Linked DNA regions of Diceros bicornis minor. Each later gene encodes a partner of the first gene's protein in a complex. Links are inferred from orthologs where the notes say so. Each region holds a gene or a part of one and is shown in the gene's direction. Other genes may lie near its edges.

Region 1 (14,742 bases):
GCCACAGTGGCTGGTTCAACGTGAGCCCCTGGAGGTGCTGGTTTTCTTCCCCTTACTGTGTGGCCCGGGCAAATCCTCCTCTGTGCCTCAGTTTCCCCATCCCCCCAGGGCAGTCGCGTAGAGTGGTGGTTGAGCAAGGGCTGAGGGGTCAGGGAGCCCCGAGAGGCATCCTGGTGCTGAGGCTGGGTCCGTGACATTGACCAGGTCTGCCTCTCGGTGCCTCAGTTTCCCAACTATAAAACGGGGATCCTGACAATACCACCTACTTCAAAGGAACACAATGGAAATTCACCGTCCATAAAAGAGCTAGCGGGGGGGGGGGGGGGGGGGGGGGGGGCAGGTGGCTTAGCGGTTAGGTGCGCGCACTCCGCTACTGGCGGCCCGGGTTCAGATCCCGAGTGCGCACTGACGCACTGCTTCTCCGGCCATGCTGAGGCCGCGTCCCACATACAGCGACTAGAAGGACGTGCAACTATGACATACAACTATCTACTGGGGCTTTGGGGGAAAAAAGGAGGAGGATTGGCAACAGATGTTAGCTCAGAGCCGGTCTTCCTCAGCAAAAAGAGGAGGATTAGCACGGATGTTAGCTCAGGGCTCATCTTCCTCACAAAAAAAAAAAAAAAAATGAGTTAGCGCTGCGCCCGACACGCAGTGGCGCTCAGGCTCTCCCAGGGGTGACCGTCATTAGCAGAGCGGCGTCCGCGGACCATCTCCAGGCTCCATCCGCGCGCTGGTGAGTCTTGAGTGAGCAACCTCGTGCTTCCTCTTCTCGTCCTTCCCAGCGACCCCCGCCTCTCGTCTGCCGTCCACCATCAGTGCCCCAAGAGCTCGGGCAAGCCCCGTGACCTCCGGCTGTGCCCCTGGTCTGGGCCTCCCTCTCCCCAGACCGCGGGTGGCCTCCCATTCTCCAGGGAGGCCAGCCTACAACACAACATACACAACACAACAAACGCATGGGCTGCCCAAATGCTCCCCCTCCTCCGGAAAAGCATGGTCCCCAACCCCAGCCCACCCAGGGGACAGCGCCTCACCGCAGAGGACCCCGCGGCTCTGTGGGGGATGCTGGCAGGATGGATTGCCGGGGACGCCCAGCCTGAGGTGGGAATTAGGGAGTGGGAGGTCTGTTAAGGGCTGCTGTTGGGACCACCACCCGCGCAAGGGGAGGGGAGGACGCGGACGGGGCAGGGGGAGGAGGTGGGCTGCGGTCCAGCTGCTGTGCATCTCGACAGAGGCCTCATCCGGACTCGGGGGAAACTGGAAACCCGGGGCGCCCCGCAGAGGAGTCCATCTGGGGCCCGGGGACAGAGGCTTTATAGCCCTGCACCAACCAGGCGTGGGCTCGAGAGAGGCCGTGCGCTCCGCGCAGGCCATCCCCGGAGGGCGGCCAGCCGGCCAGCAGCACACGCCCGCCGGGGGACAGGTCCTCCGGCCCCCGGGGCCCCGGGCGCACGCCACCCCGCCTGCCGCAGACCCCATTTCTCTGGGGGAGTCCTCTCCGCAGCCTCCCTGCTGCGCCCCCGCCGGCCTGAACGCCTCCCGGGGCAGGGAGCCCGCTGCTGGGTTTCCATCCGCCCCCCGGGCCCGCGCTGCCCGGCGGCTCGCGCAGGCCGGGATGTGGCGCCTCCTCCCGCTGCTCTGGGGCCCGCGGGCCCGTCTCTGCTCTGACAGCTCTCCCACCTCGCGGTGCCCCGAGGAGGGCTCGGCCCCCAGGAGCGGAGGAGGGGGGGTCGCTGCCTGCAGACAGACAGACACACGCCGCCACAGACGCTGACTGGCGCAGCCTCGTCCCCCGGGGACTCGGAATGCCGCCCGAAGCAGCTCAGTGGGGCCTTTCCCAGATATCACAGGTCCCACCCAGCACGCTTTCAGCGACAAGTAACAGAAATGCTGCCCACATCGGATTAGAACAGGGCCTGTTAGAACAGGGCTCATGGAACTGAGAAATCCAGGACGAGACTGCTTTCAGGTAAGGCTGGATCCAGGGTCCCAAACAGTGTCCCCGAATCTGTGTCTTCTGCTTTCCCCTCACTCTGCGGCCGGTGTCACCCCCCCACTCCCAGACAGAAGCCGGCAGGAAGCTCCTGGGCCCGAGAGCTCCATGCTCCTACGGCCCAGGCCTGGGCCACAGCGAGGAGGTGCGGTTTCCCAAGGAGAAGGGAGAGTGCTGTGGACAGAAGAACCGAGAGTGGGGGCTGACAAGCACAAACCACAGCCCAGCCAGAGGCCGTCCATGTGGGCAAACCCAAGGCTAAGAGCCCAGCAGGGAGAGAGAGGGCAGGTGGGCAGGGGTGGAGGCTGGGGGAGGCAGGGACCAGAGACTCAGAGGCCCCACAGGGTGTGGTGGGGACAGGATGGAGGGCCAACAGGCAAGGTGGGGGCGGCCAGGAAGGAAGCCATTGGCCCACCTGTCCTTCCCAGCCCAGCCAGGATCTTTAAGCTGTCTGAAGGTCCTTGTGTCCACCCAACTAGTCCAGGCAGTTGTCTCAGCCTACTTTATGGAGCCTTTAAAGTCTCATTCCTTCGTGTCACTGTTGGGAAGTCCCACTTGAAGTCTACCCTAAGTTTCTCCTGCTGTTGATTACAAATTAACAGCTCTGTCCTCAGACCCTCCAAAGTCTAAAGTGGTCAGTTCTCACCTGACCTCCACATGACAGAAAGGGAAGACCTAGGATGGAGTCTGTGCGTTTATAAGACAAAGGAAGCCCCAGAGTTTTGAGTCATTCAAAATGACTCCTAGATAACCCAGGTCAGAGCCCTCCAGTGCTCATTCTGGCCTTTCCTCCTACTCTGGGGACCACCTTATCATCCCCACCTCTGGCTACTGAGCCTGCCCATCCATCTTCCCACGTCTAGGGGAGAATCACTAATTTTATTCAACTATTTATTCAACAAATTATCGAGTACCTACTATGTGCTAAACCCTTCTAGGTACTGGGCCACAGCTGACATTCTGGAGGAATGGCAAGTGTCAATAAACAAACAAGAAATTAAAGTAACAAGATTGTATCTGCGGGAAGGAAATAACACAGGGGGCAGATCATTTGGGGTCAATCAAAGAAGGCTTCAGTGAGGAGGTGGCATTTGAGCTGCAATCTAACAGACGGGAAGCTTTGCAGGCCAAGGAGCAGGTGTATTGGTTAGGTCCTCTGGGAAGTACATTCGCAGGGGGAGTGAGGAGTTCTGTCCGCTCCTCCACACAGCCCTCCACCTCCCACCCCACCGGGGACAAAATCCTCAGCCCCTGCGCCCCGGCTCCCCCCACACCCCACCCACAGGCTTTGGACTTAATCCCTTTGTCAGTAGCTCTCTCGGAATTAGCCTCATCCGGGAGAGCCATCTGCTCCCCGCTGGGTTCCCCACTGCTATGGAGAGGTCACGGCAGGTCACGCGGGGCTCTGCGGGGCTCTGCAGGCCGCGGCGAGCAAGTGGGCTTTATTCCAAGAGTGGGTTGAAGTTGGTAAAGGGTTTTAGGCACAGGGTAGCCGGGCCTGCTGAGCCTCTGAGCCTGGAATCCATAAGCGTGGGCCCGGGGCTGGGGTCCCAGCAGGAAACCTGAAGGTCCCTGGGTTCCCTGCCCCCAGAGAAGGTCCCGCCTCACTCCTCTAGGACTATTAGCGCTGGCACACTCGTGTGCCCCCAGGAGTGCTTCTCAGGTGTCCCCGAGACAAGAGGCAGAGACAAAATGAGGGAGGGCCGTGACCTCAGGCAGGCCGTGACTGGTCCTGGTTTCTCAGCTGAGTCAGGATGCTCAGGCTGCAAGTGACAGAAACTCAACCCAAACGGGCGTAAGCAAAACACAACACCAAGTTGGGAGGAGGGGATGTATTGGCTCACAAGCTAAAAAGCTCAGGGTACTCCGGCTGCAGGTAGGGCTGGATCCAGGAGCTCAGCTGACGGCAGCAGGAGCTCAGTGTCACCACTTCTGCTCTCTTTACTGTAACTTCCTCTCAGGAAGCCTCTGTCCCTAAGGGCAACTCCACCAACTTCATTTAGAGCTGAAAGTGTAGGCTGCGCCCCAAATGCCTCCAGCGAAAATCCCAGAATTAATTCTCATTGGCTCCAACAGACTCTCCAGCCCATCTCTGAACCATCACCTAGCCAGCAGCACTAGATCTGCTTTTTAGCCAGGCTTGCGTCACATGGACCCAGGAGCCAGAAGGTAGGTCACAGCCACTGAACCTCATAGACCAAGGGTTGGGGAGAGGAGGCTCCCCAAAGGAGAATTAAGGGGCAGCTACACAGGCAGGAGGACAGGGGCTTGGAAGGCATAAGCCACAGACGGCCACTACCTCCCCCAGCACACCGCCTTCGTATGCTTGGGGTCTCGCCTCATCGTCTTCCTTCTTCGTCAGTGCAAACTTCATCTCGATGCTGCTGTGCCACAGCACAGGGAACAGTGTTCACTAAAGTTTTCCTGAATGAATGAATGAATGACAGAAATTTATGCCATATTCTGGCATCTCCTAATTGTAGCCTGTATTCATTTCCCAGAGCTGCCTTAACAAAGTAGCACAAACTGGGTGGTTTAAAATATCCGAAGTTTATTCTTTCGCAGTTCTGGAGGCTCAAAGTCCAAAATCAAGGTGTCGGCAGGGCCACGCTCTCTCCGAAGACTCTAGGGAAAACCCTTCCTTGCCTTTTCCAGCTTCTAGGAGCTCCCAACAATCCTTGATGTTCCTTCCCTGTATGTCTCCAATCTCTGCCTCCGTGGTGCACGGAGTTCTCACCGTGTGTCTCTGTGCAAATTTCGTCTTCTTATAAGGACACCATTCCCTGGGTTAGGGCCCAGCCCGATCCACTATGACCCCATCTTATCTTGATTATATCGGCAAAGACTCTATTTCCAAATGAGGACACATTTACAGGTACTGGAGGTTAGGACTTGCACGTATCTTTTGGGGGGACACAATTCTACCCACTGTGCCGACCATTTACACCTGTATTAGGATGCCTAAAAGATGCTGCAGTAATGACCGTCTCCCCAGATCTCAGTGGTTTACCATGGAAAAGTCTGTTTTTCATTTACAAAGTCTACAGTGGGTCTGGTTGCTCTCATTTTATGATTCTCCCACATCAACATGGGGCTCCCAGGGTCACCCTGCTACGTTAGCATGGCAGAGAGAGCTAAAGGGATACAGGGACCCCGAAGTGTATCGCATGTGCTCACCAACAAGTCCACTACCACTAGATACTGTCTATGCTCTCCCAGTCCCTTGTGCCTCTAAATTGGCACCAAGCACCTTCACTGGACACCAACGCCCTTGGAATGCCAAATCTACACAGGTTGTTCAGAGGTGCTGTCAAAGCTGCCCTCTGCCAGAGGAGCCCCAAAGCTATGTTGTTTAAGCCCCAATCTCTCACAAAGACTTTTGGGAAAAGATTAAACCTGAAATGGGGCAAGTGATACAAATGAGCTGAGTGAGTCACATGCAAGGCAATAGAGAATGGTGGGGACTGTGGCAAACCAAAGTACACGCCTCATCTAAAGGGGGCAGCTGCTATTCAGCTACAGCTAATTGTTGCCATGTGGCAACTGGCACTCAGTATTGCCAGATTTGGGGGAATTTTCAAAAGAAAACCAGAAAGTCAGATTTTTACATGAAGTTTCCCAAATTTCAAGATGCTATTCAGGCTGGATTCAGCCCACAGGCCACGAGTTTGCAAACCATGCTTTAGTGAGGCAACTTTTTCCGTTTTCACTCCCAGCTCTTGGCTCTCCAACCTGGCTCTCTGGCTATCCACAGGACATGGACAGGAGCCAAATGGGGCTGAGCCAGGAGGCAACCCCCTTCCCCCACTGACCTCAGAGTCATCTTCCTGCAAACAGCCAGGGCCTCTCCCCGGGTCAGGCCGATGGGCCCTGCTCCCTCCTGAACGGCAAAGTACCTCCCAGGGGGCCCCTTCTAGACGGACTCTGGCAGGTCAGCTGCGCACGCCTGCCAGACAAGCCTGTACTTGCCCGAAGCCCACTGAGGCCCGAGCTGCAGAGGCTCTTGGGTTCTTAGATAAAGACCAGACTCACCACCACGACCTCCACGGCTCTCACGGGCAGCTTGTTGCCGACCCTTTCAGCCCATGACTTTGCTCCTCAAATCCATCCCTGCTGACCCCCGGTCCCAGCTCCTCCCCTCCCAGGCTGGTCTCTGCTGACCCCCGTCCCACCTCCTCCTCTGCTGACCCCCAGTCCCATGTCCTCACCCTGCCCCCACCCTTTGCAGAGAGAGGGAACTTCCTTCTCCAGTGCATCTTGCTGTCTTTCATCTTTGGACCTTTGTGTATGTTGTTCCCTAGATTGTGCCTAAAACATCCCTCCCATCACCCCCTACCCACCCAGCAGTCCTATTCAGGTCTCAGCTCAGAAGCCACTTCTTCCAAGCAGCCTTCCCTGACCATCTTTACTAGTTTAGGAGCTGAAGTCAGGTGTCCCCATAGCCGCTGGAGCTCCCCATCACAGTTTAGCGTGTAATTAATTCTCTTTCCTGAGAGACGGAGGGGACGTTCCTCAGAGACAGGGGCCATTCCAAATGTGTATCTAGCACCTAGCACTATGTCTGAGGCCAAGAGAATGCTTAAATATTTGCAGAAGGAGGAAAGAAAGGAGGGAAAGAGAGGAGGAAGGAAGGGAAGAAGGAAGGAAGGGAGGAAGGGAGGGAGGAAGGTGGAACTCTCCCCTTTATCTGTTTCCATCTCTCTGGCTCTTTCCATTTCTGTCCATCTCTCTCGTCTCTGTCTCCATCTCTAAACATTTAAAATCTCTGTCTCTGACCATCTATCCGTGCAGCTGATCATCTGTTTCTGACCCTTCCTCCCCATCTCTGATCCCTGTCCCCGGGAGTGCAGGACGTCCTGTCCTCCGGGCGCCCCTCCGAGAACCGCTGCTGTCCAACCTCAGGACGTCAAGCGTCTAGAGGGCCGCACCAGATGTTTCCCCGCAGGGGGTCCTTAGGCTCGGCGCCCGGATTGGGGGGTAGGAGTAGAAAGGTCGCGCACTGATGGTGCGCGCAGAGGCCTGGAGCCGCTGGCAGGGGGAGGGGGGCGGGAAGAAGCGGAGAGAGGAAGAGAGAGGAGAAAAGAGGAGGAGGGCGAGCGGAGGAGTGGGGCGGAGAGGGGCGGACCCGAGTGCGCCCCCCCTCCCTCCCTGCGCTGCCAGCGCCCTCCCAGCCCAGCCGGCCACATCTGGCGGCTGCCCTCCCTTGTTTCCGCTGCATCCAGACTTCCCTCCGGCGGCGGCTGGAGGCTGCGCATCTGGGGCTTTAAACATACAAAGGGACTGCCAGCGCCGGCGAGAACGGGCGGCGGCGGCGCGGGCTGGGGCGCGGGGGCCGGACCATGCGCCGCTGAGCCGGGCAAAGCCGAGGCCACCGAGTCGAGCGGCCCCTCGGAGCGCAGGCTGCGCGGCGGAGCAGGCGCCAGCCAGGCGGCGACGCGGCCACACACACCGAGCCAGCGACCCCCGGGCGACGCGCGGGGCCCGGGAGCGCAATGACCGAGGCGCGAGTGGCCCGCGGCGCGCTCGCCGGCCCCCTGCGGGCGCTCTGCGTCCTGGGCTGCCTGTTGGGCCGCGCCGCCGCCGCGCCGTCGCCCATCATCAAGTTCCCTGGAGATGTCGCCCCTAAAACGGACAAAGAGTTGGCTGTGGTGAGTTGCTACGCTGGCCTCAACCAGCCAAGTTTAAACAAACTTCGGAGGCAAGGGATGGGGGTCTCCCCGCCACCCCTGCCCCCACGCCTACGTGGGGCACACAGCATGGGGGAGGGCCTTCAGTAAACAGCTTGGGGGGTCCTTGGCAAGCTGAAGGAGGAATCTCTTTTGCAACCCGTGGGGGAGCTTTGGTAAGTGGAGAATGCCTTTGATAACAACTTGGCAACTTTCAGGACACGGCAGGGAGGCGAGAAACAAGCGGGGGAGGGGAAGGAGGTGCTTTGGCAAACAGATGGAAAGGACCCCTTTTGTAAATAACGGGGACATTGTCTAGTATCTGGGGGATCTGGCAAGGGGGGCGGCTTTGTAAACAACTTTTGGACACATCTGGGGGTTGGCTAACAAGGCCCTTGGCAAGCGTCTTGGTAGGCCTTTGGCAAAAGGCCTAAAGTGGTCTCTTTTGCAAATGGTAGAGGATCTTTTTAAACTCCTGTGGGACTTTGGGAGGAGGGTCCTTTGGCACACAATTTGGTTAAACTTTCGCACACGTGAGGATGGGAGCTCTGGGCAAAGCGGGACTTGGCAAACCTTTGGAACCTTCTGGGAACCTTTGGCACACATCTGGAAAGAGGCCTTGGACAAACCACGCGAAGGACCTTTTGGCAAATATTTGGGGCAGGGGAGAAGCAGAGAGTGCAACTTTTCCGCCTGGCTCAATGGACAAGAGGTTCCAGGGTTGGACCTCGGAGAGTTTCCTTGAGCTTCTCCAAAGGGGTCGGAGCACAGAAGGAGAAGGAGAGAAGCGGCGGGCGGGCGAGGGAGGGGCAGGCACCGGAGGGCCCCGGCGCGTGGGGCGGGGGCGGCCCTAGCCGGCGCGGGTCGGAGAGCGGCCAGCGAGCCCTCCCTCTTGGCGCGGCTCCGAGCTGCGGCTCAGAGGTTGTTTTGCGAGAGCGCGCGCCTGGCTCGAGGGGCGGCTCGAGGGGAGCCACGACCTCAGTGCTGCACAGGCGGAGCTGGGGGCAGCGGAAGGACACTGCGCCTCCCCCTGTAAGCACCTCTGGCTCGGGACGCCCAGCGTGTACCTTCCAGCCCATGAGGCATCTGCCCTCTTATTGCTGCAGCCACCCTAGAAACCCCCATTTTCCTCAGCCTGGTCCCCAGCCTGCCCAGGACAGGACTCCCAGGCCCTCTGGTCACCCTGGGAACCCCTTCTCAGGATGTGACACCCCCCCTTTCCAGCATCTAGGCCTCTGCCCTCTCTGGGTAAATGGGTTGGGAGACCTTACATTTTTAGGGCGCCGCTTTTCTCCAGGGTCTGGAGCTGGCCGGCTAGTGATGTGGCCCTTGGTTGGGGGTGACAGTAGAGCACTGACAAAGTTGCCTGGGTCCCCACACCTTCTGCACATTGTGGAAGTCCACGTTCTCCAGAGGCAGTGCAGGGGGGTGCTTGAGAAGAAGGCTCTGGACTTGGAGGGCCAGGCTTCAAACCAGAGAGCACACTAACCAGCCGGCCTAGTGATCTCGGGCAGGTGACAACGTCTCAGTCTCAGCTGCTTCTGCAGACTGAAGATAAAGATGCTACCTGTCGCAGGGTTAAAGGAGCGGTCACCTTAGACACTTCGAAGGGTCCATGACACATGATAAGCACTCGGTGTTAGCCATTATTATTATTTATGTCATTGTTATTGTTATTATACCCTCTCCTACCTTCCCCCCCAAACGAGGTTAGGGCCTCTGCAGTAAGGTCTCCTGGCTCCTTTCACCGTTCCGACACAGTCCCCATCACGTATTTAATTTTGCATTCATGTGTGGTCCGTCAGCCTGCCCACCTGGGGATTTGAACCCTAGAGGCTAGAAACATCTGTCGTGTTCACCGGTTTATCCACAGCGCCAGTGCAGGGCTTGGCACATGATAGGTGTCAAAAAACATTTGTGGGACAAATGAATGTGTTGGTTGGTCCCTGACGCTCTGCAGGGGTCTGTTTGGTTTTGGCCTCAGTTTAGGCAGAGCCAGCTGTGCGGCTCCTGAAGGAGAGGACCATTTTCTTTTTGGAGATGGCAGATCCGGGATTTGAACCCAGATCTGACTGCTGCTGCAGCCCGGGCACATAGCCCTTGAATCTCCTTATAAGAAAAGTGAGGAAAATCATCCGTGTGTCATCAGCCGTTAGTAGATTAAAAGAGGTGATGGAGATGAAGAAGGGTGGTAGAGAGTTACAGTTCCCAGCAAGGGCTCTGGAGCCGGATTGCTTGGGTCCAAATCCAGCTCTGATATTTGTGAGCTGTGTGATCTTGGGCAAGTTTCTTAACTTCTCTGTGCTCTGCGTATGATGGAGACAGTAATCATATCTACATGATAGAGTTTTCGTGAGCATTAGATGAGTTAACACTTGCTGACTTCAGTGCCTGAGCATATAGTAAGCACCCTAGCTGTGCTCTCTACAGTTTTTATGTCACTCAGCTAGCGGGTGACAGAGCTGGTTTGGGAACCCAGCGCTCCACCCAGTGCCCTTGGGTCCCTGACTGCTTTGGTCAGAACTGTGCCATCCTAACGTGGCTGCTTGCCCCGGGTGCTCGTCTCTTCCAGCAATACCTGAACACCTTCTACGGCTGCCCCAAGGAGAGTTGCAACCTGTTTGTGCTGAAGGACACGCTGAAGAAGATGCAGAAGTTCTTTGGGCTCCCCCAGACGGGTGAACTCGACCAGAGCACCATCGAGACCATGCGGAAGCCGCGCTGTGGCAACCCCGACGTGGCCAACTACAACTTCTTCCCCCGCAAGCCCAAGTGGGACAAAAACCAGATCACGTACAGGTGCTGAGGCGGGGCGGTGGGGGACCCTGGGCTCTGGACACTGGGTCTCCGTGGGCCCCGGGAGGTGTCTTATGAGGGCTTGGTACCTTAAGGAGTTTGCACACAAAGTTTTTAGGAACTGGAGTCTCACAGACCTGGACTTCAGTCTCACACTTACCAGCTGAGGGGCTTTGGGCGACTTGCCAGGGCTCTGAGCCTTGGCTTTTCAATCTACAAAATGGGGCTGAAACAAAACCTTCCTCATAGGTTAGTTGGGAACTAAGCTAGATCGCATCTATAAAGGGCTTTCACAGTGTCCAGTATATAGTAAGAGTATAGTAAGTACTAGTCATTATTGTTATTAGATGGGGTCTTTGGGGCAGGCAGAGGGAACTCGACGGTTGGTTGCTAATTGGGTTTTATATTATATTATAGAGTTGTTATCATTGGTTGTTAGTAGGGTTGAGAGCTGTGTTCTATATGGCTCATGAGGGATTCCAAAGATGAGGTCTCTGCCCTGTTTCCCATAATGCGCTGTTTATGCCCCTGCCTATGTCCCCCTCCCCACCCCCAGCCAGACGTGAAGGATGAGACTCTTGAGACAGGGCCTGAAGATACGGGCTGGTCTAGGACTCCACGGGACATCAAGGCGTTCTGGGCCGGCTCTTCTCCCAGTGAGCTCTGCTCAACATGCACACACATATACCTGCACATACATGCACACTCATGCGCACACATTTGTGCATACTCACATGTTCATGCACAAACTCATGCACCTCTCACATGCTTTCGCACACTTGTGCACATGCATGCACCCTTGCACACATTTGTGCATGCTCACATGCACACAGTGGCATATACACACTTGTACACGTGCATATGCACACTCACACTCCGTGGCACACCCACACACACTCACATGCATTTCTACCTCCTCCAGGATCATTGGCTACACGCCTGATCTGGACCCCGAGACGGTGGATAGTGCCTTTGCTCGTGCCTTCCAAGTCTGGAGTGATGTGACCCCACTACGGTTTTCTCGCATCCATGACGGAGAGGCTGACATCATGATCAACTTCGGCCGCTGGGGTAGGCAGAAGAAGGGCCACCAGGGGGTCCATGTAGAGACAAGGGGGTGATCTGGCCATCAGAGAGGCACGGGGGTCCTGAAGGCAGCTTAGATAGGAGAGTAGGAGATGTAGACGCTGCAGTAGTGTAGATGGAAGCAGACAGCGGAGAGCCAGCTTGATGTGGGGCAGGTGACGTGACACTGGGTATGCTCTGGAGGCAGTGTAAACCAGAAACCAGGTGGTCTCCCGGCACCGTCCAGCATGGTAGCCGCTGGGTACATAGGCTATCCAAATTTAAATTAGTTAGAATTAAGTAAAATTTAAAATTCAGTTGCTTGGTCACACTAGCCATATTTCAGGCGCTCAGTAGCCTCATGAGGCTACGGGCTATTGAATTAAACAGCAAAAGAACATTCCCGTCGTCACAGAAAGTTCTATTGGATAATGCTGGTATCACTGAGGAACTCTAGATATGAGAGTGGGTCAGAAACAATGGAGCAGTGTAGACATGAGAGCAAGTGGAATAGAGCCCGGGGTCAAGGGTCTCATGTTGGTTGTTGGTATGAACACTGGCAGTAGTGTAGACATGAAGGTAGGTAGTGTAGACATTGTGAATGGTGTAGTGATGTGGGTAAAGGGCAGAGGAGACAATGGAGACAGGTAGGTGGGTGGTATGGACCTGGGTGGCAAAGTAGGCATGAGGGTTAGTTTTGTGGATATTGCTGATCGTATGACGTGAAGGTAGGTCGTACGGCTAAAAGGGCGGTGTGGACGTGAGGGTAGAAGGTGTAGACGCTGGGTACAGTGAGGGTGAGTGGCGAGGACACTGGTGTGGCAGTGTACGTGTGTGGGTAGGTATAGTGTCATCAGTGGTAGTGTAGACAATGAAGGTAGAGATACTGGGGCCCTGTAGACTTGAGGGAGTAGTGTAGACCCCAGGATGGTAACAATCAAGTCAGCAACTCTCTACTGACTCGCTGTGTCCCCAGTCCTGGATAACCCCAGCAGGACAGGGAAGGGGACAGATGCTTGGTGGTAAAGGCCCCCAGCCATGGATTAGGGGGTGGCTGGGCGTCAGGGCCCAGCTGGGGCAGCTGAAAGCTGAGACCCGGTGTGTTTCAGAGCATGGAGATGGATACCCCTTTGATGGCAAGGATGGGCTGCTGGCTCACGCCTTCGCCCCGGGCCCTGGTGTTGGGGGAGACTCCCACTTTGACGACGATGAGCTGTGGACCCTGGGAGAAGGGCAAGGTAAGAAGGGACCATCCACATGCCCCAAGCCTCCTCTCCAGTCCTCTGCATGCCTCCCTGTCCTCTAGCAACTAGGCCTGTGGCTTCCCTGGCAACCTCGGGCACCTCCATCTGCTCTGATGGGACCAGAGAGATGGGAGAGGGAGGGAGGCCACGCCCCTGGGTGAGTCGGAGTCCTGGTCTCCAAAGAAAGGCCTGGAGGGGTTCACCTCCCCCGTGTTGCCCCCAGTGGTCCGTGTAAAGTACGGGAACGCCGACGGGGAGTACTGCAAGTTCCCCTTCCTCTTCAACGGCAAGGAGTATACCAGCTGCACCGACACGGGCCGCAGCGACGGCTTCCTCTGGTGTTCCACCACCTACAACTTCGACAAGGACGGCAAATACGGCTTCTGCCCCCACGAAGGTGAGCGTCCACCTCAGCCTCCACGTCCCCGGGCTTCCCACCATACCCTGCCCTCCGTGCTCCCCAGGCCTGGCGCTGCCAGTCAACCAGCGTGCCCTCAACTTCCTTCAGGCCCCACCCTTCCCATTGGAGCCACTGCTGCGTCCTGTCACTTGTATGCCCGTTTACTTAATACTTTCATTAAATCTATTCCATTTTTTTGAGGTCTCACCATTAGCAATAATATTTGTGAAGTCACAGGTTTGATGTGCAAATTATTTTGTTCTAACATGCGTTAGAATGAACTTAGAACTATTAAAATGCCCAGTGGTTCTCTCTAGAACTGCTCTCTACACTCTGGCCAGGATTGAGGGTTCATCGGTGTGAGGAGAGGGTTGGGGATGCATCGGAAGCCTTGCAGTGGAATTGGGAGGCAAGAGTTGACCCCCAGGCTGGTACCCAGCCTGGCTTGGGGACACCGACCCTGTGAATTTTAGCCATCACTCCTGGTTCTGCTAGTGTGTATGTATGTGTGTGTGTCTGTGTCTGGGCATAGGGGCTGTTCCATCTGCCTCTTTTGATCTCTGTCTGTCTCTCTGTCTGCGTCTGTCTTAGCAAAGGCATTAGACTTAACTCAGTATTTGTGTGTGTGTTTTTGTCAGTCCTTGAGACATAAAATTTTCAGATATTTTGAAGCCATATAAAGGGAAAATTCTTAAAAAGGGGTAAGGGTATTGACATACACACTCAATCCTGTTTTAATATATCCTTGACACTTCATACTTGTAAATCATAAGAAGACAGTACGTATAACTTCATACTCGATCAGGTCATCATATTTGATGGTTTTAGAGATGGAAAGCCCAGAAAATTTGGGGGAAATGGGAGCCAGTCCAAAAATTTTTCTAAATACTCCTTTCTTCCCCATCCCACACAGACTGCTTGATGCACATATGCCTCTGTCCTTCTGGCCGCAATTTTATGTGTTTCTGAATCTCTCTCACCCCGCTGCACCTGAACACTGAACACCAGCCATCTTGTCAGAAGGAAAGAAACAAATAGCGAGTTAATTGTGTCCTTGTTTACGCTTCTAGTACCGAAGCTCACGTAATACTTTGTATTAAGTAAGAGTGCAAGCCACTGACCATTAATAAGTTAGAAATTTTTAAGCAAAAATATTGAACAATTGCATTTCCCAGTAGAGATTCAGGTGGCGTTAACGTTCTGTGTCAACCCCTGTGACTGGAACAGAATGTCTTGATAATGAAGTGGAAACAGCTGTAATTTCATGAGTTTGGGAAGGGTTTTTCCCTGCCTTGGACACTAGCCATTGACTTGGTCTTTAGCCAGACACAAGTACGCACAACACGCACGTGTTCAGATCTCGGGGCAGAGGTTCTGGTTACTCAGGCCCTCCTGACTGCTGAGTCAGTGTCTGCTGCTCTCCATCCTTGTTGGGGGCAGAATCTAAGAGAAGATGGGGGCTTCCTGGGTGGTAGAAATACATGGCTGGGAGGTCAGAGGCGGAGGCTGGCCTCCGTTGAGGTTAACACTTTGCCTTTCCCCACGCCGAGGCCACCAAAGCATCTGGCCTCAGTTTTG
Region 2 (14,572 bases), on another chromosome or scaffold:
GTGTTCTGATGAAACAGAATTGGATGAGCTGATCATTTTCGAGGCTGGGCATTGGTAAGTAGGTGAGCATTATACTGTTCTCTCTCCTTGTGAATATGCTTGGAAGTTTTCATAATAAAACGTTTTTTTAAAAGCAGCAAGTAGGAACCCGGCCAGAACTGAGGAGTGATCCGGCAACAGATGTCAGGGTGCAGGCAGTGAGCCCCGACACACACGTAAGGAGCCCGGAAGCCCTCCCCGTGGCCCCGCCGCCAACCATACTCCCTCCCCACCCCTCTCCCTGTTGACTCCCATGTCATCCAAGAACCCTCGGCTCTGAGTAATAAATGCGCCTCTCGGCGGGACATGTGTTTTCAATCATTCTGCTCAGCGGTGAGTCACCACCAACAGCTGCTGCCTGTCTCCGTCTCCCACCACTCACCTTCAGATCCGCCATGCTGACAGCCCAGGCCCTGCCCCCACCCCAGCTCTGTGCTCAGCCCGCCTGACCCTCTTGGAGCTCCTGTGTCCTCCTACCTCTAGGCCTTCACTCAGGCCAGTCCTTCCATCTAGAACATCCAGATCTTCCATCTTCATGCAGGCCAGTTTCCCCATCTAGAACCATGCCTCCCCGCTTTATCTGGATAACTCTTACCAACCTCCAGGGCTCATTTATCCCAGGCAGCCTCTCCAGACCACCCCGACCTCACTGACGGCCTTGCTCCACCATCTAGCACCCTACACCCGCTTGGCAATCGTCTCTGTCTGTGTTTCTACTAAAGGGTGGTTTGTGCTGGAGGAGGGAAGAGACTGCTTTAGTTCCATCCCCATCCCCAGCTCTGCACATGCCTGGCACACAGCTGGCGCCCAAACATGTTGAATGAATGAATGAGCTATAACCTTAAGAAGTAGGGCGTCATGGGGAGACAGACATGAAGACAAGGAACCCATGAGAGAAAACACAAGGAAACTAAGGAGTCCAGGTCATGGGCTACAGAAGGGCAGTTTCCATCTCTGCCCCTCCTCAGGGCAACCCGCTCTCCACACAACCCCAGATGGGCATCGCCCTAGGGTGGAAATCAATCACCTGCCACCATCAGCTGGCTGGGCTGGCTGGGCTGGCTCTCTGGAGCAGGGTGAGGAGGGATCTGAGGCCACTTCCAGGCTGCATGGGGAAGGAGGGCTAGAGCCACCTGTGTCTGGTGGGGACTGGGGGGTCGGGGCGCGGGGAGGGCCAAGAAGGGAATGCCTGTGGGCTACTTGCCAGACACGAGGCCACGTCGGGGCATCCCCTTACCCGTCCTGAGGAGTCAGACCACAGTCCGACTTGATGGGGAGCACCGAGGGGGACCCAGAGCATCCTCCACGTCTGCAGGAAGCCCAGCGCAGCTTGGGTGCTGGGAGACATTGCCTGCCCAGACCCCAGTGCCTTCCCTGTGGGCATCCATGCAACATGGATCTGGGGTCAGGTGACACCTGTGAGGGGAGGCTGAGCAGGAGCTGAACAGAAGGGGCACTGAGCAATGACTAGCTGGCAGCCTTGTTCCGGGCGAGGGAATGCCAGCACAGAGCCAGGGTGACACGGGAAGAGGAGAGAAGCAGCGGCATTTGGGGTAGGACTGCTCACACGAGCCCACTTCTACCCAGGGGCTGGGCAAGCCCAGGGAGACACGGGACCAGAGCGAGCCCCTGTCTGTCAGCCCCTCTTGCCTGTGGAGCTGGGCAGCTCTCTCCTAGCTGAGGAGAGGATGAGAGTGCCAAACACAGAGGGCCAGCGAGCCAGACCCCAAACTCCAGAAACCAGCTGGAAATGGCAGCAAGGACTTGATGAATCACTTCCCAAGGAACCGGGCTTCTCTCGGCCTTTATCACAGCTCCGTGGCCTTCTGATCTCTTTGTTGGTGACCAGAGCCACCCCAAAGCAAGCTCTTTCTGTCGTCTGGCATTTCAAGGCTGAGTGAGGGCCTTTAGGAATTCTGTCTCTCACCCTCACCCTGTACTCCACAGGGTGACGTCTAGGGGCCGAGACCTATCCCATATGCTCCAAAGCCGGTCACAGAGGGATGGAGGCAGGTTGGAATCTGAAGGTGACAAGACGCTGGACTGGGGACAGAGGAGCTTGGTGCTGGTGACCATAGGGCTGACCTCACTGAGAACCTGAAGCATCCCTGGAGAAGAGAGTCGGGGGCGGGAGAAGGAGAAAAAAAGAAGACAAGGCAGCAACATAGAAAGAAAAATAGGATTGGGGAGAGGGAAGGAGAGAGAGAGGAAATTCTTGGGCACAGTCCTAATCATAGCCTTGAAATGAAATTTACTGCTGCACTCAGCATGGGACGCCAGCCAGCGCCTCAAACCAGCCCCCCTTCTGTTTGGATTAGGCGATGACATCATGGCCATGGGCCGTCACTCCCGACACCAAAGGAAGAGGAGGACGGCGCTGCGGCGGGAAACCTGGGCCTCGCCTCTGGGCTTCCAGGGAGGGAACCTGAAACCACGAAAACTCAGCCTCAACAAACCCCTGCTGAGCTGGGCAGCCAGTTCCCGAGGTGTCCCCGCCCCTTGCTCCTGGCCAGCCCCTGGTCCTGGAACGCCAGCTGAGGCTGTGTCCTGGAGAAAGCCCGGGATGGAGGAGCACTGGGTTCCCATCTCTGCTCGCTGGCCCTGCTCCCTAACCCGCCCATGAAAGGAAGCACATGACCACATGCCCAGGGCCAAAAGGAAAGAGCCTGGGCAGGAGAAAATGCAGAGCAGCAGGCCTGATGGAGAGCCACGCTCACCATCTCTCTCAGTCCTTTGTTTTTCACAGGAACGAAGTCTAAGCGAGGACCCAGGAGAGCCCGTGCAGGGAGACGTGGGAGGCAGACAGGTGGGCCAGTGGGCAGTGGAAGAGGAAGGTAGAGCTCAGGTGTGTGGACTCCTGGGAATCCTGGGGTGCAGATTAATGCAGGAGCTGCTCCCAGAACCCTCCCTCACTCCTCGAAGGAGGGCACGGGGCCCTGCTTGAACCCGCCTGGCAGGACGGGAGACCCTTCTGAGTCAGAGAGGTAAAACATGGCCACAAGGAGGAGAGGCAGTGCCGTTTCAGAGTCCATGTGGGACAAGGTCTGCAGAGGCGTCCAGGCACAGGGGGTGACATCGTTGCTGTGCCAGAGCCGCTCCCTTGGAGGAAGGGGTTATGTGCTTCCAGTCCACGCACGTGATCCCAGACGTTGTAGATGTGGCAGTCTCCTCAAGCCAATGCCCTCCTGAGCTTCCCGGCCACCCCCAGGACAGCAACCGTCCCTGCCTCCTTTCTTTCTGAAGTGATTCTAGACTGGACCAGAGCCACAAGGGTTGGTGTTGAGACCGCTGCCCGGTCTGTGAAGGCTGTGCTCTGCATAGCAGGGAGCAGGGGTGCAGACCCAGGCAGGTTTGCAAGGTGGGTGCCCTGGCCCAAGGCTGCCTTTGGGAGGGGAGGAAGAGGGAGTGACAGAGGTGTAGGTGAAGAATGAAGGAGAAGGGCCAAGCCCCACCTCCTTAAAGATGCCCTATGGGGTGGCATAAAATACAGCCACAGACGCAGCACAAGAAATCCCAGTGGAAGACGTGAGCCAAGAGTAGTGTGGACGACAGAGGGGTCATTTGGACGACAGAGGGGTCATTTGAAAGTAAGTGCCTTGAGGAGCTGACAGCCCTGGCAGGCTCTAATAATGCTGTACAGACAGTAGAGAAAAGTATCCGTATTTCTGCCCCAGGAGCTGTCCATTTTAGGGTTGAAAACTGCTTTCTCTGCACAAGGAGAGGATATGACACCCATCCCGTCACCTAAGCTCCCACCACTGGAGACACTCCACTGCCTTTTCAGTGAACACCGTTTATACATCTGTCTACATCCATGCATATGTATAATTTCATATAAATGAAATATTATGCATGCTGTTTACTCATGGACAGTTTTTAAACACAACCTTTCTAATATCCCTTGCCTCCCCTCTCTCCCCTGAGAACCAGTGTGGACCGGCTGGTGTGTCATCCCCCCCGCTCTCTGGTCACACCTTGATACACTGACTCTCCCATATGCATTATTATTTGCTCGACAGAAATGGGACCTTGCTGTTTACATCTCTATATTTTGCTTTCTTCACGGCCAAAGATTTTTATTAGTTTTGCTAGGTTAGGGATTATTGACCAAGGCGGTTTTGCCCCCCAGGGGACATTAGGCAATGTCTGGAGACATGTTGGGTTGTCACAACCGGGGGGGGCGGTGCTATTGGCATCTAGAAGGTGGAGGCCAGGGATGTTGCTCAACACCCCTCAGTGCACAGGACGGCCCTGCCAGAGAATGCCTGGCCCAAAGGTCAGCAGGGCCGAGGCTGAGAAGCTGGCCCAAGCTGAAGAGGACAAGTCATGGAATTAATGAAAGGAAACGAAAATCGAAACGTCCTTTAGAGTGTCCGCTGCTGATCAAGAAGATGCTTATGTTGACTGTGCAGTGAACTGTGGGCCAGTTCGTGCCACAGACGGCCCAATCATTCTTGACTCACCTTCCTGTCATCTTCGGGATGTCCCGTGGTAAACAGGGAACGTTGGGGAGAGATGTCTGGGCTGGGTGGCACCACGCACCTACTGGGGCCATGAGTCTGATGTCCAGAGTTGACGGGGAGCCCGTCGTGACCCTGATGCCAGCTGCCCCTTCTTCTCTGAAGGCCACACATCACAAACTGCAGAAACTTGCCAGACTGCCAGGCACACTTCCTGAGTGTGTGGGGCCAATTTTAATGCCCATACATTATAGAGCGTCTGGCTCTCCGGAACCTGTTGGAAGGAGTGTGGGGGCTTCAGCTCCGCTCCAGCTGTCTCTAGGGAGAGAATGTTCCAGGCTCAGAAGGAAATGGATCTTCTCCAAACTGGGAGACTGACTCTACAAGAAGAGGCGCTTCCAATGACCGTCCTCGTGCTGGGTGGACAGAGCCTGGTTCAGAGGGCCTCCTGCCCGAGGCCTGTGAGGTCATTCTGACTCTGTTTACCTGAGGGGAGCGGGAGTGAGGAGGCATTGGCACTTCCTCCTGGCCCTGGACAACATTTACTCTGCCAAGCCAAGCCCAGGACATGTTTGCTGGGTGTACTCATGTCACATGCTGGGATGGGCCGACAGCTCTGCTGGGTCCTGTGATGGGAAAGTCTTTGAGGGGGAGGCAGGGGCAAGGTGAGTGTTCCTGGTGGGAAGTGGTGGCCCAGGGAGTGTGGTCTGAGGGTCCTGGAAGCCCCCTCCCCACTGGCCTGGTAGGTGCTGCCCCCTCCTGTCTACCCTGAGTCCTGCTGGGAGCCACAGATAAAAGCTGAGGTCCAGCAGGCTGTGGTCAGAACGCACACGGGGGCCCGGGCCAGGGTCTCCTACATGGCTCCTCTCTAAGCCCAATATCGAGGCAGAGGAGGCTGGTCAGGAGAGGGGGTGACAGAGGGAGCTACCAGCCCCAGGGGCCTCCTTCCCCGTTCCCTCTCCTGCCTGAGTGCAGTGTCCTGACCCTGTCCTCTCTCCCAGGGCAGAGGTCAGACCTGCAGCCGGTCCCCTGCATTCCTCCTGTGCTGTGTTGCCCTCTTGGCGGTGGAGCAGCGAGCACAGAAAGAGCATCTTGTTGATGCCGGTAGCCAGGTTCTCACCTATTCCCATCTTCAGTAGCTTCTGTATCTGAGGTCTCAGGTCCCTTGGTTTTGAGATGGGAAGATTCTAACTGGAAGAGGATGATGGAGAGGAAGGAGAGGTCAGTGGGACTGAGGCTGGGCTCCCGGGAGCCAAGGCCACCGTGGGCACTGGGCGGCAGTAATGGCTGGGGCAGGTCGGGGTGTGGTGGGGGACACTGAACTGGGAAGACATGGAGGTTTCAGGGACTGCTCTGTCCCTTCACCTGCTCTGCCCTCTGAGAGTCATTTAACGCTTGACGCCTCATGCCTCGTGACAACAGCCACCACGTGCACCAGATTTTAGAGCCTTAGGTCAGCCATTCACAGCAATGCACTAGGAAGGGACTTTTTATCACCATTTTGTCGATGTGGAGGCGGGGGCTTGGCGAGGCCATGAAGGCAGCTGGGCTGTGAGTCTCCCAGTCACGCCGGAGCCCTCTGCCCCCATTCCTATCGACCCCACCACAGAGCTGTGTGCTTGCAGAGGGGCCCACTCTGCCCATCTGCTCCAAACCCTCCAAGGGCTCTGACTTCGCACTCAGAATAAAATGCACATCCCCTCCCAGCCCCTCTCCCTGCCTCCTCTTCCCTCACTTTCCTCCTTCACTGGCTCAGGGGGCTTTCCCCTCACTGTCCCGGGGAATTTGGCTGTCCTATGGACTTTTTTTTTTTTTTTTTTTGGTGAGGAAGATCAGCCCTGAGCTAACATCCCTGCTAATCCTCCTCTTTTTGCTGAGGAAGACCCGCTCTGAGCTAACATCTATTGCCAGTCCTCCTCCTTTTTTTTTTTTTCCTCCCCCCCAAAGCCCCAGTAGATAGTTGTACGTCATAGTTGCACATCCTTCTAGTTGCTGTATGCGGGACGCGGCCTCAGCATGGCCGGAGAAGCGGTGCGTCGGTGCGCGTCCGGGATCCGAACCCGGGCCACCCGTAGCGGAGCGCGCGCACTTAACCGCTAAGCCACGGGGCCGGCCCTGTCCTATGGACTTCTGAATGTCCTGCTCTTCGGACAGTGTCCACTGTAGATGCTCAAGTAAGCATTGCTGATGGATGGAAGGAAGGAAGGGAGGGAGGGAGGGGCGGGGGGGGGCGAGGAAGGAAGGAGGGGAGGGAGGGAAGGAGCAAGTCCAGGCTCCTTATTTCCACCCCTGTGCAGCTCCCCTTTCTGGCCACCATTGTAACGTATTTCTGACCCTCACATACACTAGATCACTCCCTGCATATCTTTCCTACAAGACTAACAGCCCCTAAGTTATCTGTTTCTCTCATAAACTGACAAATTGATTTTAGATTCTGTAAAGTTCAACAGCATTTTGTTCCACTTGTAATAAAAAAGAAAGGAAGAAAGAAAAAGCCTACAGGTGGCCAACATGTTATAATTTCCCGAATACACTGTACTTTAAAAAGTTAGCATCAAACATCATTTCACAAACGACATAACTCGATTTTATATGCACAAAAGCTGAAAAAGTGACTTTGGGTTTGTCAGGGTGCTAAAAATAACTGCTCTGCCTATTTAACTTTTCTCCAAGTTGTCTGTTTCAAAGCACACGTAAACAAAAAGACACTGTTTTTCCATTCTTTCAGTATTTTCCAGTTTCGTATCTCAAGTCAGCACCACACCATGCAGCAGGCAATTACTCTTTAATTGTGTCATTTTCCTCCATTTACTTCTCCCTACTAGATGACAAACGCCCTGCGGGCAGCAGTGAGGTCCTCTGTGTACCAGCGCCCATGCAGAGGGCTGGGGGCAGGCTCAGCGACAGGTAGACAGCGACCCCGGTGGTCACACTTCACATGTGGTTCACACCTCTAAGTTCCTCTGCCTTTCCTGGAACACACTGTTTTGGGAAAAGTCCTTCAGCTCCCACATTTGTGGGCTAAGGGAGGGAACTGTGAACAGAGCCCAGCAAAGGCCTTCATCCAATCCTACCGCCTGCTGGGCTCCTGGGCCCACCCTCCTGGCTCTCGTTGACTGGTCAAAAATATGGCCAGTTTAGATAAAATCCTGTTTTGTTCATAGTAACCACGCCCCCTCCCCCTTCCACCAGACTGGCCAAGCGCACTTAAAATTCTAAGGCCTCCATATGAAAAAGGAATCCTCAGTAAGCTTCAGGAGGCCACCCACCCACAGAGGGCATGGGGAGGGGGCGGCAGGGAATGACCCCTGCTCCACATCGCACATCTGTTTTGCTCAATCCCTGGCTAGAATCGAAGGGAACCCGGGGTGGAAGGGAATCAGGCAGTGTACACCTCCCGTGCCAAGCTGGAGGGGAAGGGGTTTGGGGGACGCCGCCTAGTGCCCTGGAGGGGTGGGCCGCGAGTCCCAAGTGCTGAGTCAGGGCCCACTGGGCGCTGTCCGCCCCGCAGCGCCCCCGCCCCCCATCTCTCGCGATTTGGGCGGCTGTGGGGTGCTGCCCCGGGCGGTGGGAAGCCAGGTGCGCAACGGCGGGCTCCAGACGTACCAGGCCCGGCACAACAAAAGCCCTGGTTTGGGAGAGGGCCGGGGAGGCGCGGGAGGCGCGCGAGGAGGGGGCGCCGGGAGCTCCCGGAGCCTGCATTGGCCGCCCGCCACCGGGAGGCGGAGCCGCAAATCCTTGCAGCGCAATAAATGGCCGGCCCGGCGCGAGCCCGCAGCGCACACATCCATAGAAGGCGGTGGAGGTAGCCGGGTCTCGGGCCGCGCGCGCTAGCTCGCCCCGCCGCCCCTCACCCGCTTTCTTCTCCGCCGCGTAACCCGCTGCCCGGCCCCCGCTGGCCCCTCGCCGCCCCGGCGACAGAGACCCGAGAAAGTTTGTGCGGCGAGTGCGGGCCGGGTGCGGAGGGCGCGCCCGCGGAGCGCAGCGGAGCCCCGCGCAGCCCCCGCCCGCCGAGAGGGGAGCGCCCCGAGCCCAGGCGGCGGCGGCCGAGCCCCGAGCCCGCGCCCCCGGCCCGCGCCCCCCGCTCGCCATGGGCGCCGCGGCCCGCAGCCTGCCGCTCGCGCTCGGCCTGCTGCTGCTGGGGACGCTGCTCCGTCCGACCGACGCCTGCAGCTGCTCCCCGGTGCACCCGCAACAGGCGTTTTGCAATGCAGATGTAGGTAAGGACGGCGACCGCGCCCCGGCCCGGTGCCCATCTCCCCCGCGGGGCGCGCGGGACCCCTGATGTTCCGCAGGCGCCCCGCCCGCCGCATTTTGCAGAGGACCCAGCGCCCGCCTCCCGGCCCTCGGCGCCTTCTTGAATCCTGCAAGTGGACGCCAAAATCGCACTTTCTTTTTCCCTTCCTTTTCTCCCTTTCCTTCCTTCTCTGCTGAGATGTTCTCAACCTCAAAATTCCACCGAAATTCCGCTGCAGCTCCAGCCCCGGAAAAGGGAGCCAGGGAACGGATTGGGTTTTGGCAGGCGGAGGACCCTGGGATGCCAGGGCGGGGGCGGGGAGAGTGGGGGACATACCGTGGGGCGGGGTGGGGGGGTGGTCACGGCCTCGGTGGGCTGGAAGACTGGGGGCCCCAGGAAGAAACTCAACAGGTGAGATGGGAGTTGGGCTCCTCTGGACTTGGGGCTCGGTGGGGAAGGGCTTCTCTGCCTGGGCCTCTCCCACCAGCACCATTTGGGGGCTCACTGGATTAAGCCTGGGTACAATGGAAGCTTCTCTCCCCTGGGCAGGTTCCTGGGCTTGGACGGGCAGCTGAGAAAGGGCTGCAGGGCCAGCTCTTTGCTCTACACCCTGCCCAGGAGGCAGCGTGCCCAGGGCCAGACAGAGAGGATGGTCCTTGAGTGATTTGGTGCCCGTGACTGCTTTTTCAGGACATTCACAGCAACTGGAGACTTTGGGGCACCTGAGGTTGTGTGGCTGCTTGGAATCGCCAGAAAATATCTTGTCACCCTCAGGACTCCTTGTCCCCCAAAGATGGGAGCTAGCGAGGGAGGGAGGAGCCCACTTGTTTGTTCTGATTCACAGAGAGGCAGGAGACAGAAGCAGGGAGAACGCAGCAGAACTGGGAGGAACCAGCTGGGCCCTGGAGGTTTCCATCCAGGTCTGACACTTGCAGGCCTCTGCCTCCCTGGTAATGGTCAGCCAGGTTTTCCTGGGGCAAGTTCAGTTTAACCAAAAGGACAGATGTGTAGCAGGTGGGCCTCTGCAGCCCCCTCTGACTTCTCAACAGGTTTATTTTCTGGTCCTGCATCTGTGCCAGCTGAGCATCCTGTTGCCAGGCCAGATGTGGTGAGGCTGGGCTCCCCTCACCTTTGCAGACTCAAAGCCAGGGTCTCTGGGTTTCTTCTGTTGTCAGCCACGCCTTCCTGATCTCCCCACACCCCACCCCACATATACCCCCCCCCCCCGCCCCCGCGGCTCCTGGCCACACCCTAGTTGGCTGCCTAGCCAGGGAGTCTTTAGGTGCTCCTATCAGTGGGCATCCCGTGACTCAGGCCACCTGGCTTGGAGCGCAGTGCGTGCTTCAGAGTACTTTCTACGAAACCTGAGTTGGGGGAGGTAAGAACTGTTCTCCCGTTGGCTTTGCTGCTCAGCAAGATTTGAGGGGGAAGGAGAGGCTCCTCCCAATGGGGGAGCCCAGATTGGCCTTCCCTAGGGGTGTCCCCTGGGAGTCCGGGCCTGTCTAGGCCCCTTTGCTAAGAGACAAGCTGTGCTTCTGACTAGCGAGTCATGGGGCAGAATCAGGCCCAGGCCCGGGAGGAATCCGTGGCTCGTTAAGACTCCGAGGCTTGGTTTGCAGGAGCTGAGTGGGAAGGGGCTGGGCCTCGAGGCCACCCCATACTCCTCAGCTGCGTGGGGAAAACATGCAGCTGGCCACTCCCGTGCTTGCGCAGCGTCAGCTAAGGTTGGGGCTGTTTCTGCTTTGGGTTTGGATCAAGGGCAGCAAAGGGTCAGGTTCAAGAAGCTTCAGTTATGTCTTGAGGTTTGCACGTTACTCTCTCCTCCTCTCACCTCCTCTCTCCTCTGCCTGGATCTTCTGGCATTTGTGTCCAATTCTCTGCATCAGAATCATTGGAGAGCCAAAACTTTTAACCCCATCCCAGCTTGGAGGCCCCCTCAGGCCTGCTGATGCTGGAGTTGACTGCAGAGCCCAGTGCAGTAGCTCCCTGGGGCTGCTGTGATGGATTACCACAGACTAGGGGGCTTACAACAGCAGGAGTTGGTTCTCTCTCAGTTTAGGAGGCCCAGAGCCCCACATCAAGGGCTAGGCAGTGTTGGTTCCTTCTGGGGGCTCTGAGGGAGAGTCTGTTCTAGGCCTCTCTCCCAGCTCCTGGCGGCTCCAGGCGCCTTGACTGGTAGACACCTCACTCCCATCTCTGCTTCGTCTTCACACGGCCTTTTCCGTGTGTGTCTGTGTCCAAATTTCCCTCTTCTTATAAGGAGACCAGTCATTGGATTTAGGGCCCACCCTAATCCAGTATGACCTCATCTTAATTTGATCACATCTGCAAAGACCCTTTCCAAATAAGGTGACATTCACAGGTTCTAGCTGGACATGAATTTTAGGGGGATGCTATTCAAGCCAGCTGCCTGATCTCATTTCACACTTAGCCCTTCTGTGCTCGGTCAACTCGGGATCCAGAGCCGAGACATTTCAGGGTGGGCCCCGGGTGGCCCTGGAGTAAACCTCCCAGCGAAAGCAGTGGCCCTTTCCCGTTGCTTCTCCTTTACGTGGTGCAGGTTGCTGACTTCCTTGACAGCAATCCTCCACTCTGGCCTAAAGCAGATCTGCTTGGGGTCTTTTAAAGGTCACTCCGGTCTGGGTCCCTTTACAGACACCGGGAATCTGACTCAGGCCTCGAGTTTTGTAGTTTTAAAAGCCCCACAGGTGATTTTGTGCACCAGGGCCATGACCCAGGGGTCAGGGGAAGAGTGCTGGCCTGGTGCACATTGGGAGTTACTAAAGGCTGACCTTTAATGTGGTGTGCTGGCTCCTTTAACTGCTGACTGGATGCAGGCTTGTTAAATGGCTTGGTGCCTGCAAGAGGCAGTTGGCTTAAGAAGCAGATTTCTGTGTGCCAGTGTGAGGATTTCGGGGAGGCATCTCCCCAGCTCTTGCAGCTGGTAGAGTTGGAACTGTGGTCGGCAGAAAGAGTTGGTCACGTGGTTAGGAGATTTAGGATGAAGGGGACGGTGGGCAAGAGGGGATCTGGGCTCTTCCCGAAGCCCCGCTCCCCGTTCTTTCCAGGAAAGTGAGGACAAGCGGGGAGCATCTCATGTCTCAGCACCCCTCCGTTGTGCTGCTGGCCTCACCTCCTCTCATCTTGCCTAATGGAGCCCTGCGCCATCTCCTGCAAGCCTGCGCAGCCCCAGTAATCTGCTGGGCGCCAGCTCTGGCCATGCTCTTCAGGCAGTGCCGTGGTGCCGGGAGCCTGGACTCAGCCACTGAGCGTCTTGGCAGACCAGGGCTGCTGGGCAGGTTTCTGGAGTCACGGGTAAACCCAGGAACCCTCTGGATTCAGAGAAGAAACTCTCCCCTCCGGCCTGGGGGGCAGTGCCCAAAGCCATATGACTCCAGAAGCACTCCCGTGATGCTGTCTTTCCCATCTCCAGACACTGCTTTCTGCAGACCCTCTGATGGACTGATCACCAGGTGGAGACGGGCCCACAGCCAAGGCCACGTGCTGATTGGCAGGGTGAATGGGCCGGCCTTGTGCACCCAGTGGTGGGACCCAGATAGTGGCCACCCCAGAAAACATGCAGCAGGCCCTTAGAAATGGCTCTGTCTTCACCAGACATGTGTGCTCAGGGGAGACAAGGCAAATGAGATTCCTATAAATTGAATCAGGCCTTAGGTGCATGGGGGCCAGGGTGGGGGTGGTGCCCTTCAAAGGAACTATTGGTGACTCCTGCAGAGTGCATAATTGGTTTGGGTTACATCCTGGTTTTCATATTGGGTTTGTCTATGTTTCAAGAGGCAGTTATGGAGTGGCTGGCTCCCCCTTGGGTGGGTAAGGGAGAAGCAAGGCGTCATCCTATCCCCAGGAGGGGTGCGCTAGACACCAGTGCTAGGCAGTGTGGAAGTAGGTCTAAACCTGTGGGTCAGGGTGTGCAGAAGCCCTGCAGACCCCACCCCGACCGCCAGGGCGTGTTATAACGTCGGTCAGACTCGACGTGCTTTGGGCACATAATTAAGTCACTGTGTGGCAAGGTGAAATGCATTTGCAGCATCTGAAGATAGAGAGTTCTGATGGAGGTTGGGGGGTGGGCAAGGGGACTGGAGTTCCTGGGCTTGTTTTGGACAGTGTCCCTGGAAGGATATGTTCTCCAGGGGAGTGACTGAACCTGCCTTGGGAGACGGGAAGAGATGTGTGAAGGGCACGGAGGCTGCTCTGTGGGTATGGCAGGTGGATGGAAGGGAGCTCACCGGACACGGTGCGTTCCTCCTCCTCTGGGATCTTAGGACACGGTGCTGGCCTGCAGCCTGGGACCTGCTCGGTCCTCTGGAGTGTGCAGTCCTGGCCAGTGGCCCACAAGCTGCAAGCAGGCTTGGGTCCTGCCTCTCCTCTCCACCGTCTCAGCTGGGTTGCCAGGAAGATCCCACTGGTACGGGCTCTGCAGTCCAAATCCTTTGGTGACGTGTGAGGGCATGGAGAACAGGGGTACAGACGGCTCCCAGGCTTATGGGGCAGGGAGGGGGGCACACAGCCACCCTAGTCCTGATGCAGAGCCACTGATCTGATAGGAGCACCTGCCCCGGACACTCCCTCCACCCCACAATGTGTACACGCTAACAAACAAAGGACCAAGGGCAGGTGGTCCTGTCGTTAGGATGGTCTTTCTGGAAAGAGAAAGCAGAGTTAGGAAATCAAGGTTGAGGAGCGTGAAGAATCCTGAATTGGAGGACAGGGCGAGGTGACATTTTCCCCAGGCATTGTTAAGTGCATCATTAGTGGTGGCGGGTGAGGGCGTGCACGAGTGTGCTAAGCAAAGGATCCAACTGCCTGGGCAAAGGTGAGAGAGAGTTCTGGGTATAGAGCAGGGGGCTTAGGGGCAGGGGCATCTGAGAGGGAGAGGGGACCAAATGTTGCCACTCTGGCTTATCACGTGGAGTCTGCATTCCATGCGGAGGACCCAAGGCAAGCCATTGAGGATGTGCACCTGTGGATGACAGCAGGCATCGCCCCGGGCATTTGCTGCAAGGCAGACGCCTGAACTGGCGTCCTGAGTTGGAGCCTTGGGGCCCTGGGGCGTGGGTATTGGTATTTCTAAGACTGTGCAGGTGCTTCTGACACCCGCCAAAGTTTTCACAGAGCCGTTGTCTCCAAAGTGGGGTCCCCAAGACAATTTTGGTTCAAGTAGAGAATGTTACAGATATTTAGTACACAGATTGACAGCTGCACTTGTACATAATTTTAAATGAACAGAGAGGTGTTGAGAGTGCTTGGCCAAGGTTCTGTTTTGTTGCTAGAGGGTCTGAACAAGAAGTGGAGACTGCAGGGACCACAGGGTGTCGGGGCGGAGGGGTAGAGAAGATGCCCCAGAATGCCAGGAGGAGAGGCAGCAAAGGGGCGGGGGGGGGGGGAGGGAGACGTCCAGACTGAGGACTGGTCAGGAGGGCCAGTGTCTCGGGGCAGGTGGATGAAGCTGGCTCCCTCAGTCCAGACCTGGGACCCCTCAGGGCCCACCCCGCTGGACCCCTGAGGTCTGGGCTGGCTGGAATCCCTGTGTGGATAAGCAGCTCCAATGGAAAAATGACCGAGACCCAGGGGAGTCCCATTTTGTGGGTCACAAATTGAGCTGCTCCCTGGGTCAGCTATGTCCCAGTAGCATCCTAGGTTAAGTTTCTGGACACCCCAGAAGGACGGACTGGGCAAGTGTTGGCTCTAAAACGCCAATCGAGATGTAGTCCTTATAAGGAAGGGTCTCAACCTTGGGCATATGGACCTCTGTCCAGAGATGGGCCTGGGGGAGTCTTGAGCCCTGAAACTATAAGCAAAGCTGTGTGTGTGTGCG

What was found.
Region 2: the proteins of MMP2 (region 1) and TIMP2 are in contact, whole or in part, in a crystal structure (PDB 1GXD), measured with the Homo sapiens proteins. The link is inferred for Diceros bicornis minor from reciprocal best matches to the Homo sapiens genes MMP2 and TIMP2. Residues at the interface, in NP_004521.1 of Homo sapiens: Trp574, Lys576, Asn577, Lys579, Tyr581, Phe588, Arg590, Lys595, Asp599, Phe602, Lys604, Ile606, Ala607, Asp608, Ala609, Trp610, Asn611, Ala612, Asp615, Tyr636, Leu638, Leu645, Lys646, Ser647, Val648, Lys649, Phe650, Gly651, Ser652; in NP_003246.1 of Homo sapiens: Ile162, Pro163, Cys164, Tyr165, Ile166, Pro169, Leu173, Met175, Val178, Thr179, Phe191, Arg196, Asp198, Ser200, Cys201, Ala202, Trp203, Tyr204, Arg205, Ala208, Lys211, Gln212, Glu213, Phe214, Leu215, Asp216, Glu218.

Annotation. Positions count from the first base shown.
Region 1 is NC_080771.1:8,398,680-8,413,421, forward strand, and holds the start of MMP2 (72 kDa type IV collagenase), read left to right. Parts: upstream 1-7,185; 5' UTR 7,186-7,485; coding exon 7,486-7,641; intron 7,642-10,231; coding exon 10,232-10,458; intron 10,459-11,377; coding exon 11,378-11,526; intron 11,527-12,629; coding exon 12,630-12,758; intron 12,759-12,987; coding exon 12,988-13,161; intron 13,162-14,742.
Region 2 is NC_080757.1:58,675,648-58,690,219, reverse strand, and holds the start of TIMP2 (metalloproteinase inhibitor 2), read left to right. Parts: upstream 1-8,293; 5' UTR 8,294-8,589; coding exon 8,590-8,719; intron 8,720-14,572. UniProt on the Homo sapiens protein: Complexes with metalloproteinases (such as collagenases) and irreversibly inactivates them by binding to their catalytic zinc cofactor. Known to act on MMP-1, MMP-2, MMP-3, MMP-7, MMP-8, MMP-9, MMP-10, MMP-13, MMP-14, MMP-15, MMP-16 and MMP-19.